3 linked regions of the Arabidopsis thaliana genome follow. The protein of the gene in region 1 interacts with the protein of each later gene in a pairwise test. Each region holds a gene or a part of one and is shown in the gene's direction. Other genes may lie near its edges. The genes, in order: AT5G66480, IRX15-L and AT3G60590.

Region 1 (5,080 bases):
TCAAGATTTTGCAGCAAGGGAAGCAAGTTCATGCCATGGTGGTGGTCACCGGACGCGATCTCGTGGTTTTAGGAACTGCAATGATTAGTTTTTACTCGAGTGTAGGTTTGATCAATGAAGCCATGAAGGTTTATAACAGTTTGAATGTTCATACGGACGAGGTGATGTTGAATTCTTTGATATCAGGTTGCATTCGAAACCGAAATTACAAGGAAGCGTTTCTGCTTATGAGTAGGCAGAGACCCAATGTGAGAGTGCTCAGTAGCTCTCTTGCTGGCTGCTCTGATAACTCTGATCTGTGGATTGGTAAACAGATACACTGTGTCGCTTTACGTAATGGTTTCGTTTCAGATTCTAAGCTATGCAATGGCTTAATGGATATGTATGGAAAATGCGGTCAGATTGTGCAAGCGCGTACTATTTTCAGAGCTATTCCATCTAAAAGTGTGGTTTCTTGGACGAGTATGATAGATGCGTATGCGGTTAATGGGGATGGGGTTAAAGCTCTTGAAATCTTCAGGGAAATGTGTGAAGAAGGAAGCGGAGTTTTACCGAATTCAGTGACATTTCTTGTTGTTATATCGGCTTGTGCACACGCAGGACTAGTTAAAGAAGGTAAGGAATGTTTTGGTATGATGAAGGAGAAGTATCGGTTGGTTCCTGGAACAGAGCATTACGTATGCTTCATCGATATCTTAAGCAAGGCTGGTGAGACAGAAGAGATATGGAGATTAGTCGAGAGAATGATGGAGAACGATAATCAAAGCATTCCTTGTGCTATATGGGTAGCGGTACTCAGTGCTTGTAGTCTTAATATGGATCTTACGCGAGGCGAATATGTAGCAAGGAGGCTTATGGAAGAGACGGGTCCAGAGAACGCGAGCATTTATGTGTTGGTTTCGAATTTCTATGCAGCGATGGGGAAGTGGGATGTCGTTGAAGAATTGAGAGGAAAACTGAAGAATAAAGGTTTGGTTAAAACAGCAGGACACAGCTTATTCATATGAATTGCTTTGTTTTTTCAGCATTACACTACACTTGAGCTACTGTTTTTGTGTCAAGAAACAGAGCAAGTCCACTAAAGTCTAAAGCATTGTTGTGGAACTGTCTCGTTGTCCTAATTAAGTCAAACACCAAAGAAGACATAGTCAAAAATAAAGTAGCATTGACCCACGAATAGTAGTAGGTGAAAGGGCAATGTCACATAAGGTTTAAGTTAAAGGAGTCGTTGGGATAAGGAGAAGAGAAGTCAAAAGATGTGTCCTTTTCAAAATCTATCCTTTCTTAAAAACATATCACCAGAGAGAATTGATCAAAACCACAAGAAATAATGATTAGAGCGCTGAGCACGAGGAAGGTTCGAGGCAGCTACAAGAAGCTCGGCGACGAAGAAGAAGCAGGCGCAGGGCTTTTAGAAGTGAAACCGGAGAGCGTTCCTACAAATCCCCATGGTCAATCCCCGAAGGTGAATAAACCGGTGGAGAAAACCAGGGGTTCGGCTCACCCTCTATTTAGTTTCTTCGAAATGAGTCTAAAGAGGAAGAAGAAGAAGAAGAGCACGACGACTGCAAAACCAGAATTCGCTAGGTACTTGGAGTATGTCAAGGAAGGAGGTGTTTGGGATAACACTTCAAATGGACCTGCCATATATTACAGATAGATCGGAGAAAGAGATTTCACAGAGGTTGTTTATATTTATTTTCGATTTGTGATATACCTTTCTATTTGAATAAGAAGGATGAATACATACATACATCAAAGTAGAAAGCTCGTCCATAAGCCATGATTCTGCTTCTTTGTGGACAAATCCATGTAATTTAAGTTTACAGTTTGATAGTAAGAAAAATTCTCGGTTTATTACTTGTTATCAGTAATCAGACTGGGTTTACAAATTTACGAATAAACACAGTGGGGCCCCTGATGACTACAAAAGCCTACCCGAAACACCAGGAGATGCCACGTCACTAAACATACAAAACCCCATCAAAACGCAGCCGTTCCGGTGATTCCCCAAAACCCAGCGTGATACGCGGTCGTTGCGAATGAAAGCCTTGGTGAAGAGGTTTAAATTAAGAGTTTGTTGCGACTAAAGCCTTGGAGAAGAGGTTTCTCTTTTTTCTCTCCTCCTCAGTATATATCTAATCTCTGTTTGCTCTTTTTTCGCACCATGTCATATCAATCTACCATCAATCGATCGTCTCTTCTTCCTCCGTCTGCGTTGATCTTTTCGTTTCGTCTTCTCCGATTGATGCTCTGTCGCGAGGTAACTATTTCTATCGAGTGATTTTGCTAGCTGCTGACTGTTCGATTTGATGATTAAGGTCTTGGTTCCGTGATAATCTCTGTTAAATTTAGTTTAGGCTACTTGATGTTGAATGATTAGTTTGATAATCTCGCACTCTATGGTTTGCTCCTTCCCGAAATTGAACTCTCAGATTGTTAGCTTGTTTGTATAGGTTATTAATTGCTTGACATTGATTTGGATTTTTGTTTATCCGTTATCGACTCTCTCGATGTTCATTACTTTATTAGTTGAACAACGCTCTCTCGCTGTTGTGTATCCCTATTGGTGGATTTCTAATTGAAATCTTCAATGATGCAGAGTCATGCCTACATTTTCTGCTGCCGCTTTGGGTAGATCACTAAATTCAGGGACGTCCTTATCTAGTAAATTTCCAAGCACACTGCAGTCAAAGCCGTCTATTTTGAATGATGAAAGTAAGCAACCTAAAGAAAAGACATTCACTCGTCCTCAGATGTCACCTTCTCTATATGCCACTACTAAAGAAATCCCTCATCCCAATTCGCCTTCTTCCTACCCTCCATCTCCCTATATCATCAATCACAAAGCTCGTGGGCCTGTTCTTTTCAATAGGGACTCTGAGGTGGATGGGCCTTCTCACCCGATAACCTCTGGTGAGGAAAAGATTAGTGGTAATGTAGATGTGGAGGCTACTGCCTCCTTGAGCAAGTCCACATCCCTATCATTTCCTATCACCGAGGCTATTGCGGTGGATCACACCAATGGTGTTCACACCCAAGGCATCCATGAACGTCCTGTTTGGGATTGCAGTCCCCCTCTTGGGACATTTTTGAACGAGAAGTCGGGAAGAGATATCAGCAATGGTGGGATTGGAAGTAATAATGCTACCAGTAATTTAGAATGGCAAAGTTACTTATTGGAGCCGGTAAGAATAAAAGCAGACAAGGAGCTTGAGCCTGAAAATTTCTATAACCCAGGTGAATTAGTAAGCTTCACAAGTAACACAGAGGTAGAAGATTTCGAGAGAGCTGAAAGCTCACACAGTCTTGCTACACATGTTGGAGAGTTTTATGATGCTTGCGATGGTACTGTTTCTTCCTACTAACTTTTTTAACCACGAGATAGCTAGAAAATTCTTATGATGTCTGACATTTCTAGCATCATCACTTTTTGCCAGTTCTTGGAGCCTCTTCTCCTTTAGTTTTAAGTGTTATATGCATATATCAGTATGTGATTTTGGTTGTGAAGTGGCCTTTTAGGCTTGGGATTCCTGTGTTTATAGTCATCTTGAATTCGTGATAGTTATGAATCAGATTTCCAAAGACATAGAAAATCTGCATGCATGATTCACTGGTATATCTAAGAAACTGGTTTTAATTTATTCAGTTACTGTTTCTTGGCTTCCAGAACTATCAACTGACAGTGGAATGCAGAGTTCAGCTAACAACATTGAATCTGAGGTAAGGGAGATGAGATTGGGTTTACTAATGGAAATCGAAAGGAGGAGGCAGGCAGAGGCGACTCTAGAGCAAATGCAAGTTCATTGGCGGAGGCTCCGTGACCAGTTGGCCGATGTGGGTATGTTCCTTCCTCTTGATCCCACCAGAAGCCAATACAGCATGAACCTAGCTGATGAGCTACGTTGTCAACTTGAGGTCACCAGGTTTGTCTCCGACACACTAGGCAGTGACTTGGCCAAGACAGAGGTAGAGATGGAGATGGAAGCTGAGCTCGAAGCTAAGAACTTTGAAATCACCCGGTTGTCTGACCGTCTTCATTATTACGAGACTGTGAACCAGGAAATGTCCCAGCGCAACCAAGAGGCCATAGGTAGAAGAAACTCAAGTTAAATTTACAAGAATGTCTTATCTTATTTTTCTTTATCTCAATGCTTCAACTCTCTTTGATATCAGAGGTGGCAAGGCGAGACGGGCAAAAGAGAAAGAGGAGGCAGAGGTGGATTTGGGGATCAATAGCTGCAACCATCACACTCGGGAGTGGAGTCTTGGCCTGGTCGTACCTTCCTCCCGGAATGTTATCATCAGATGAAGCTCAACCTCAGCTGTCTCCAAAAGATTCATAATGAGGTTGAATCAAAGCTTCAGGCCTTGTGAATAAAAATAGGAAAATGGGTTTTGTTTTAACCTTTTCTAGAGAATGTATAGAACATTCATGATGACGACATAACTCAGCTTCATACGATCAAGGTCATACCAATTTGGTTCTGTTTGTGTCGCTTATTGACTTGCAATGTTATTATTAGCCAGAAGTTCCGTGCCTGATTCTTGCTTTTGTTATGTTGGTTCTTAAATTTAACGAGGGGGGTAACTGGGTAAAGAAAAATAAAGGCGGTTGAAATGGGAATTATATTTAACAAGGGGTGTAAGTGGAAATAACAAATTCTGAAACGGCGTCGTATGAAGATCATATTTGGTTCCTTCGCTAATCACTAAAGAAAGCACCTGTGAGGAAAAACCAACCAGTGAGAGCTATCAATTTGAAAAACCAAGTCCAACAATGGCGGTCTCTCCGCATATTTCGCCTACTCTTTCCCGCTACAAATTCTTCTCTACTTCCGTTGTTGAAAACCCTAATTTCTCTCCGTATCGTATCTATAGTCGGCGGAGAGTTACCAAATCACATCTCCAGGCGCACAACAGTACCACTAGCTATGGCCGGACGGAACTCTCCTCCTCGAAGAAGCTATGGATTAGGCAACGAAGCTTCAGCGAAATGGAGGTTGAGCAAGCACAATTAGAAGATGATGAAGAACAAGTGGAGATCGATATCGTCGACGAAGCCAGTCTTCTCTCCCTG
Region 2 (3,708 bases), 270 kb from region 1:
TTTAACCGATGCGGTCAAAATTATGTTTTCCAAGAAAAATAGCATTGGGGGACTGAGAGTCACGCGCTGAGTGAAGCGGGTGAGAATCAGCGTCTGGAGCCTTTACATAAGCGACGGCTTGAGCAAGTCCGTGAGTGGCTATAGCCGTTACTGATTGGTCCGTAGGAAATGACTAGACTCGTAGCCAAGCATGTGTGGTCCTTTTTTTTGTTTTTAATTTGTCAACCTTACTTGTCCTTTTTACTCTTTAATTAAAAAAACAAAAAATCAAAATAGCGACGTTTTATTTCTCAAAACAAAAAATACATAGTTAACGGAAATTATGTGGAAGAAATGGTGAGAGTTATTGACACTGTGACAAAAAGTATGGAGAGTTTCTACAGATTTGTACGATTTTGGGTCCAATCACAATAAAAACTCATTGTTCCCACTCTTCTATGTTTTTTTAATATTCACTTTGCTTGATGCACTTTCTTTATAAAAAGATTCAAGATAAGCAAAGCGTGCTGCTTTAGTAGTGACACGAAAACAGCATCTCCACTCTCCATTAGCGTCATTTCCTTAAACATTGAGTTTCAACTTTAAGGATTACAATAAGTATTCACTGTTTCTTTATATAACAAAAGGTTAAAAGTGTGGTGGCTATACGGAGAAAACTAAGCTAAAGTGATTTTTGACTTCATTATTTGTAAATAAGATCTAAAACGAAGCACCCACCATTTCTTTCTTTAGAGGCTAATATGTGTGTGTCACTTTAAAATGTAATTATTTCAGCATATAAATGGCTAATCCTCTGATATAAGAATGTACATAGGGTCTATAGAGACTTTTAGCATCAAACCTGGAATCTGTTATGTACCACACTAAAGCCCAAATAAAAATAGACCTTGTTCAACGGGCCCAAATCAGGTGGATTTCAGTAAGAGAGTCCTTTTGAGGCAAAAGCAGAGTCCATCACCATGTGAAGTACATAATTTTGACGTTATAATACTTAAACCATTTGAAGTTGGTTTCATCACATAAAAAGTACATAATTTTATCTAGCATAACTGTTTGGGTTAATACCATCAACTTAGTTTAGGCGAATTTTGTATCACCTACTTATATTTTCCTAGTTTAGATGAAATAATGTTTGTTTTTAATTGTTTAATATTAGTATAAGATAATAATAATAATATTGTAATGCATAGTTTTAAATATAATTCCTTAGGAAAGAAGTCAACGAAGAAGAAGAAGGGACAAAGACTTGTGGCCTGTAATTAGTTATGGTGTCACTTTGCAGTAACCAAAACGCCGACACCTCTCTTCCCTCTCTTCTTCATTTCACCAGCTCCATGCATATACGGTACAACCAACCACCTCTATTCTAATCCCAAACACCCTCCCCTCTTTTCTTTACACTTTTCTTATTAAACTTTATAACCAATACAAACATTTGGTGTTTTGTTTTTTTGTATTCTTCCCAACTAACTCCAAAACGTATGATTGTAGTTTAGGACTTGATTGATTTATAGTTCACAATTTATAACCGTAAAAACCAGTCAACAGCATTTTAACCCTTACACTTTTTACTCTCAAAAAGTACATGATTAAGATCTGTCACTTTCACTCTTTTAAAATTTACCAGACGCTTATTTTGATTTACGGTGATTTGTTAATTAGGTAATATCCGTGTTAGATAAATGTTATTTTCTAAGTTGTATTAGAGAGATGTCGCCTTCAGAAATCTCCCACACGAAGCTAAATTTTGGAAATAATTAATAAGATTCCAGAGCAAATTAGTCTTCTAGAATATAATAAATACTACTATACATTATAATACCTCTACCACATTTGTGACGTCGTCGTCAGTCTCTGATAGGTTTGAGTTCATATATTTCCTTTTTAATACTTCTCAAAACCAAAACACTTTTGTTTTTAAAACAGAGTCATCCTCTTCGTCTTCTTTCTCTGACCAAAACAGAGCGAAAAGCAAAAATGAAAAGTGGAGGGAACACAAACACTAAACTCATACTTGTTCATCCATACATTCAAAAGCAAACAAGCACAAATCGTCTATGGCTTCTCGCTTTCGTTTCTTTCTTCACAATCGCTTTTCTCCTAACTCTTCTCTACACCACCGACTCCATCATCTCTTCTAAAAACAACTCCGCCACCGTCTCCTCCGCCGTCAATTCTGCCGTCACCACCGCTACCATCTCTCAGTTACCAACAACAGCCATCAATGCAATGCTTCACTACGCTTCAAGATCAAACGACAGCTACCACATGTCATACGGAGAGATGAAATCAATCTCCGACGTCCTCCGCCGCTGCTCTCCGCCGTGTAATCTCTTAGTCTTCGGTCTTACACACGAAACCCTTCTCTGGAAATCGCTAAACCACAACGGGCGTACAGTTTTCATCGAAGAGAATCGTTACTACGCTGCTTACTTCGAAGAAATCCACCCGGAGATCGAAGTCTTCGATGTTCAGTACACGACCAAAGCTCGTGAGGCGCGTGAGCTTGTGTCGGCGGTTAAAGAAGCGGCGAGGAACGAGTGTCGTCCAGTGCAGAATCTTCTCTTTTCAGATTGTAAATTAGGACTCAATGATTTGCCGAATCATGTATACGATGTTGATTGGGATGTGATCTTAGTTGATGGACCACGTGGCGACGGTGGAGATGTACCGGGGAGGATGTCGTCGATTTTCACGGCGGCGGTTCTTGCTCGGAGTAAAAAAGGCGGGAATCCGAAGACGCATGTGTTTGTTCATGATTATTACAGAGATGTTGAGAGACTTTGTGGGGATGAGTTTCTTTGCCGGGAGAATCTTGTGGAATCTAATGATCTGCTTGCGCACTACGTGTTGGAGAAGATGGATAAAAACAGCACGCAGTTCTGTCGTGGTCGTAAGAAGAAACGCTCTGTTTCTTCTCCATCGGCTTGAGTTAAATGTGCGCTAAAATCTTGTGGACTGTGGAGAGTCAAACCAACCGACACGACGGTGGTCATTGACACCGTCAATCGCGGAAGGAGTTTGTGTAAAATAATACGTTTTTCTACCTTTAAATATTTTTTCCTGCTTTTTAAACTATGTGAAAATTCAATCAGATCAATTAAAATTTCAAAATATCTCTTCGAGGTACAACAATTCGTTTAAAATACCACTATAGTATTTGGATACTGATGATTTGGTGTTACAACATAAATGATAAAACCCAATGAATCAAGAACGTATAGTTTCAACTCTCTAAACCCTTTGTGGAGAGTCTTGTGGAGTCAGAGTATCTATCTTCTTTTTCTTGTAGAGTGGAACTCTTCCTCCAAGCTCTCTTAGCTGATCCACAAGTCCGTATAGAAACTCAAACGTCAATATGTTTTGAGCATTAAGTTGCTCTCTAACTTGTGGATGAATTCTAAACCATTCTCCCAACATCTTATGAACGTGAGATCGAATCATCCTCCATGGAACCGGATGCTTCTCACACAGCTTTAAATACTCAACAACTAAATCTCCCTGGTCTAACCCTCCATCGACGAATCCCTCTTCTTCGTTATCTTTTGCCCATTCAGCTGTTCTAAACCCAGCAAAGGCCGCCGGGTTTTCAAGAAGCGTCTCCGCAGAGAGAACACCTTCAACACCCGTCTCTTTGATGCAGTTATCGACATCTTCGATGCATCTTACATTCCCATTCGCTAAGACAGGGATTCTCATAGCGTTTTT
Region 3 (3,678 bases), on another chromosome or scaffold:
GTTTGATTTTCCTAACTTCAGTTTGTTTGATTTAATGAAAAAAGAAACCTCTAATAATGACTCACTAAAGACAACCACCGTTATCTCTCAACAAGTCAACATAGAAAAAGTTTCAATACAAGATTCTATTTGGAAAACCAACTCGTTTGTTAGAAATTTACATTAGTTATCGAGAACAAATGTATATATATATATATATATATATTAATTTGAAAAAGAAAAAAAAAAAAAACAGTGACTCCCACGTAATACGCTAAAGCTTAAATGGTCAACTGATTCATAAAGTAACTTTCAAGAACATTAACCGCTTTGAATTACGACTTACATTGTGACTCAAATAACTGAATCAATTGATTAATGGATAACGTGTACATGCTTTAATACTTGGACCAGTTAAAATTCTAGTAGATACGATCAGTGACATGAAATGATAAAAGTTTTCAAAATGAAAAAAAAACGACAACAAAATAACAGAAGTGGCAAGAAAAAGGTCTGTAATATACTAATATAGGTAAAAAGATAGAGATACCAAACGGTATTAATTTTTTCTGATAAACAAAATATGTGGTACATTATGGATACGATAAAAAAAAAAGTCATCATCAATCAAAAAAAAAAAAAAAGTTTAATGAACAGTCAACTAAATCGGACAGCTCTCTAATATATACTTTTACCTGTCTTATTGTTCCCATACCCCAAACTAGACTAATTAGAACTTGTTTTAATAGTAAAATTCAAGTTTTTGTCTTGCAGTTTTCTTTCGAGTCTCAAGTTCAAAAGGACTAAAACGGAGGAAAAGATGCATGCTTCTCAAAATTCCGTCTCTGTCCTGTTTTCTTGAAGTCACGTCTCAACTCTCAAAGTCTCCTTTCCCAAACCCTAAATTCTTAGTGTACCAAGCGCAAAATCGTTTCAAAATACCCTTTTTGTAATAAAAAAAAAATGTATGCATAAATGAAAAATAAAATAATACAAAATCATGAATTAAATCATAGTAAGAGATTCCAAATTAAAAGAAAACAAAAACTCATAAGTAACTTTTTACATGATCCATTCTGATTGTAAATCTCGATTATGAATTAGTGCAATACAAAAGTTGGTAGCCAAACAAATGGTTTCAATAAGTCTGGTTTTTGGATAGTGTCGTGACTTGGTAAAGTAACATTTCACTAGATTTGCTTGTCCGAAGCCAATGAGAATGACTCACTTTTACATTTCTGTTCACACCATCATTATTATCAAAATCTCGTTATCATTGTTACTACCATTCCATACGTACCTTTAATCCATACGACCAAAATAATGCATAAACTCCCTGCAGGGACAAAGAGACGTCGGAAAGTACGAGATTAGACCACTCCAACTGCCAAAAGAACTACGCGGGCTAAGACGTTTCATTTGGCAGTGACAAAAACAACGTCAACGGTGAACAGTGCCACCATGGCCATCGTCTTAGCTTTTTGAAGACACGTAAATCCTCCTTATCAAAAATTATAACAAAATATAAACATAAGCTACCGATCTATAGTGGGCTTTTTAAAAAGGATGGGCCGACTATTCAAGTTATCAACACGTCGTCGTATAATCATAGTAGCTCTTTGTATTTTTGTTCCGGACATGATTATCTTAGTATCCAAACACGTCACATTCAAGTTTATTCTAAAGATTTTTCTCTCCGGAGACGTTAAGAGAAGAAACAGCCAACGGATTAGGGATCTTACCGTTCTGCGATTCGCCGGTGAGTGTTTTTATTTTATTTTTCCGATTTCATATCGGCTTCTTACTCTTTAATTCGATTTCCTTATATGTTATCGTGATTACCTTCCCGAGAATTCATGGTAAAATTGATCGGTATATATTTTGATAATCGACTTCAATTTGGTTTATCCCTCCTTATGCTTAATTGCTTCACTTACCGGTTTTGATTCTGACTTGTATTGATTTGATATCGATTATCCGGTTTAGTAGCTTCAAGTGTTTCCCCTGTGTCCATGTATCGTCTTGGTCCTGATGATTTTGAAATGTTCTGTTTTGTTTGTTTATGTTAAGAACAGAGTTTGAAGCTTTTTTTAGAGACTTCAATGGTGAGCCAAGGAATGGTATCTCTTACAAAGTCTCTATGCACTATGACTCCAAGAGTCCGTCTCAAGAATCCGAATATGTTGCAGAAACTAAAGACTGGATCTTGTAATTTCCGTTTCAGAAATCTCCGTGTCTTATGCACACCAAAGCTGTCTCAGTGGGAACCGTCACCTTTCATTCATGCTTCTGCAGAAGAAGCTGCTGATATAGTATTGGACAAAACCGCGAATGTGTTCGAATCTATTGTCTCCGAGAGTGCAGAGGAAGAGAAAGTAGATATGTCAGCGCAACAACGAACTAATTCTCAAGTTCAGGTACTTAAATGGCCAATATGGCTTTTGGGTCCATCTGTTCTCCTCACAAGCGGTATGGCGCCTACTTTATGGCTTCCGTTGTCATCGGTTTTTCTCGGTTCCAACGTGGTTAGTCTACTTTCTTTGATCGGTCTAGATTGCATTTTCAATCTTGGAGCAACCCTTTTCCTCTTAATGGCTGATTCTTGCGCACGTCCTAAAGACCCATCACAGTCCTGCAACAGCAAACCACCATTTAGCTATAAGTTCTGGAACATGTTTTCACTCATAATCGGGTTTCTAGTCCCAATGTTACTTCTCTTCGGATCCCAATCTGGCCTTCTCGCTTCTCTCCAGCCCCAGATTCCTTTCCTCTCGTCCGCTGTTATCCTCTTCCCGTACTTCATTCTCCTTGCTGTTCAGACATTAACAGAGATCCTCACATGGCACTGGCAATCACCGGTCTGGCTAGTCACACCAGTTGTCTACGAGGCTTACCGAATCTTGCAACTGATGAGAGGGTTGACACTTAGTGCAGAGGTCAACGCACCGGTTTGGGTGGTTCATATGCTTCGTGGGCTTGTCTCTTGGTGGGTATTGATCTTGGGAATGCAACTCATGAGAGTTGCTTGGTTTGCTGGTTTTGCATCTAGAACAACAACAGGTCAGCAACCACAATCTGTTGCTTCTAAGTAAAGACAGATAAATGTTTCTTCGTTTAGTTTTTAAAGTCATGTCAAAGATTTGTAACTCTTTCTTCACTGTATAGCTTTTATTATTCGTGGGTTGGTGATAAGGATTAAAAAAAAACACATATTCTTTATGATCATATTCGCTCTTTTAGTTAGGTATGTGATGTTATTCATTTCAATATTAAAGGCTGATAGGTTGACGTTAAGGTTGAGAATATGCAAAGGTTGACACAGATTCCTGTCAAAGAAAGACATTTAAGAATTTACGAAAAATGATGAAAATGTTTCTCTTAAGAAAGTAGAGCATAATGTCGAATAAGACTAGTTTATATGGTTTTGTATTTTTACTAAGTCATGTCAGAAAGAAGAAGAAAAATATATGTACTGTGTTATAGCCTTATAAGTAATAGGTTTTTGCATTTGGTGAGTACTTGGTAACAGTAAAAAAAAGAAAGTTATACGTTACGTTGTGAAATATGATCAGATTATAATGTATATTCTTTACTTTAGTTGAATTGTTGTTGTTGTAATTCATCTCCACGCGTTTGCGATTAGGGCGCGTTTGCGTTTTTATCAATTTTAAATGAATTGACAGTATTACCCTTGAGAAA

The links.
Region 2: the proteins of AT5G66480 (region 1) and IRX15-L interact in a two-hybrid assay, tested with the Arabidopsis thaliana proteins (one large-scale study listed by BioGRID).
Region 3: the proteins of AT5G66480 (region 1) and AT3G60590 interact in a two-hybrid assay, tested with the Arabidopsis thaliana proteins (one large-scale study listed by BioGRID).

Annotation. Positions count from the first base shown.
Region 1 is NC_003076.8:26,544,003-26,549,082, reverse strand, and holds AT5G66480 (bacteriophage N4 adsorption B protein), read left to right. Parts: upstream 1-2,082; 5' UTR 2,083-2,263; intron 2,264-2,602; 5' UTR 2,603-2,606; coding exon 2,607-3,348; intron 3,349-3,670; coding exon 3,671-4,093; intron 4,094-4,176; coding exon 4,177-4,346; 3' UTR 4,347-4,542; downstream 4,543-5,080. Other genes in the region: AT5G66500 (Tetratricopeptide repeat (TPR)-like superfamily protein), read left to right, coding at 1-1,007; AT5G66490 (uncharacterized protein), read left to right, coding at 1,331-1,660; AT5G66470 (GTP-binding protein Era-like protein), read left to right, coding at 4,781-5,080.
Region 2 is NC_003076.8:26,817,042-26,820,749, forward strand, and holds IRX15-L (IRREGULAR XYLEM protein (DUF579)), read left to right. Parts: upstream 1-1,907; 5' UTR 1,908-1,977; coding exon 1,978-2,931; 3' UTR 2,932-3,116; downstream 3,117-3,708. Other genes in the region: AT5G67220 (FMN-linked oxidoreductases superfamily protein), read right to left, coding at 3,235-3,708. UniProt on the Arabidopsis thaliana protein: Required for xylan biosynthesis, but not directly involved in catalyzing the addition of sugars to the growing polymer.
Region 3 is NC_003074.8:22,396,683-22,400,360, forward strand, and holds AT3G60590 (cytochrome P450 family protein), read left to right. Parts: upstream 1-1,545; coding exon 1,546-1,738; intron 1,739-2,049; coding exon 2,050-3,071; downstream 3,072-3,678.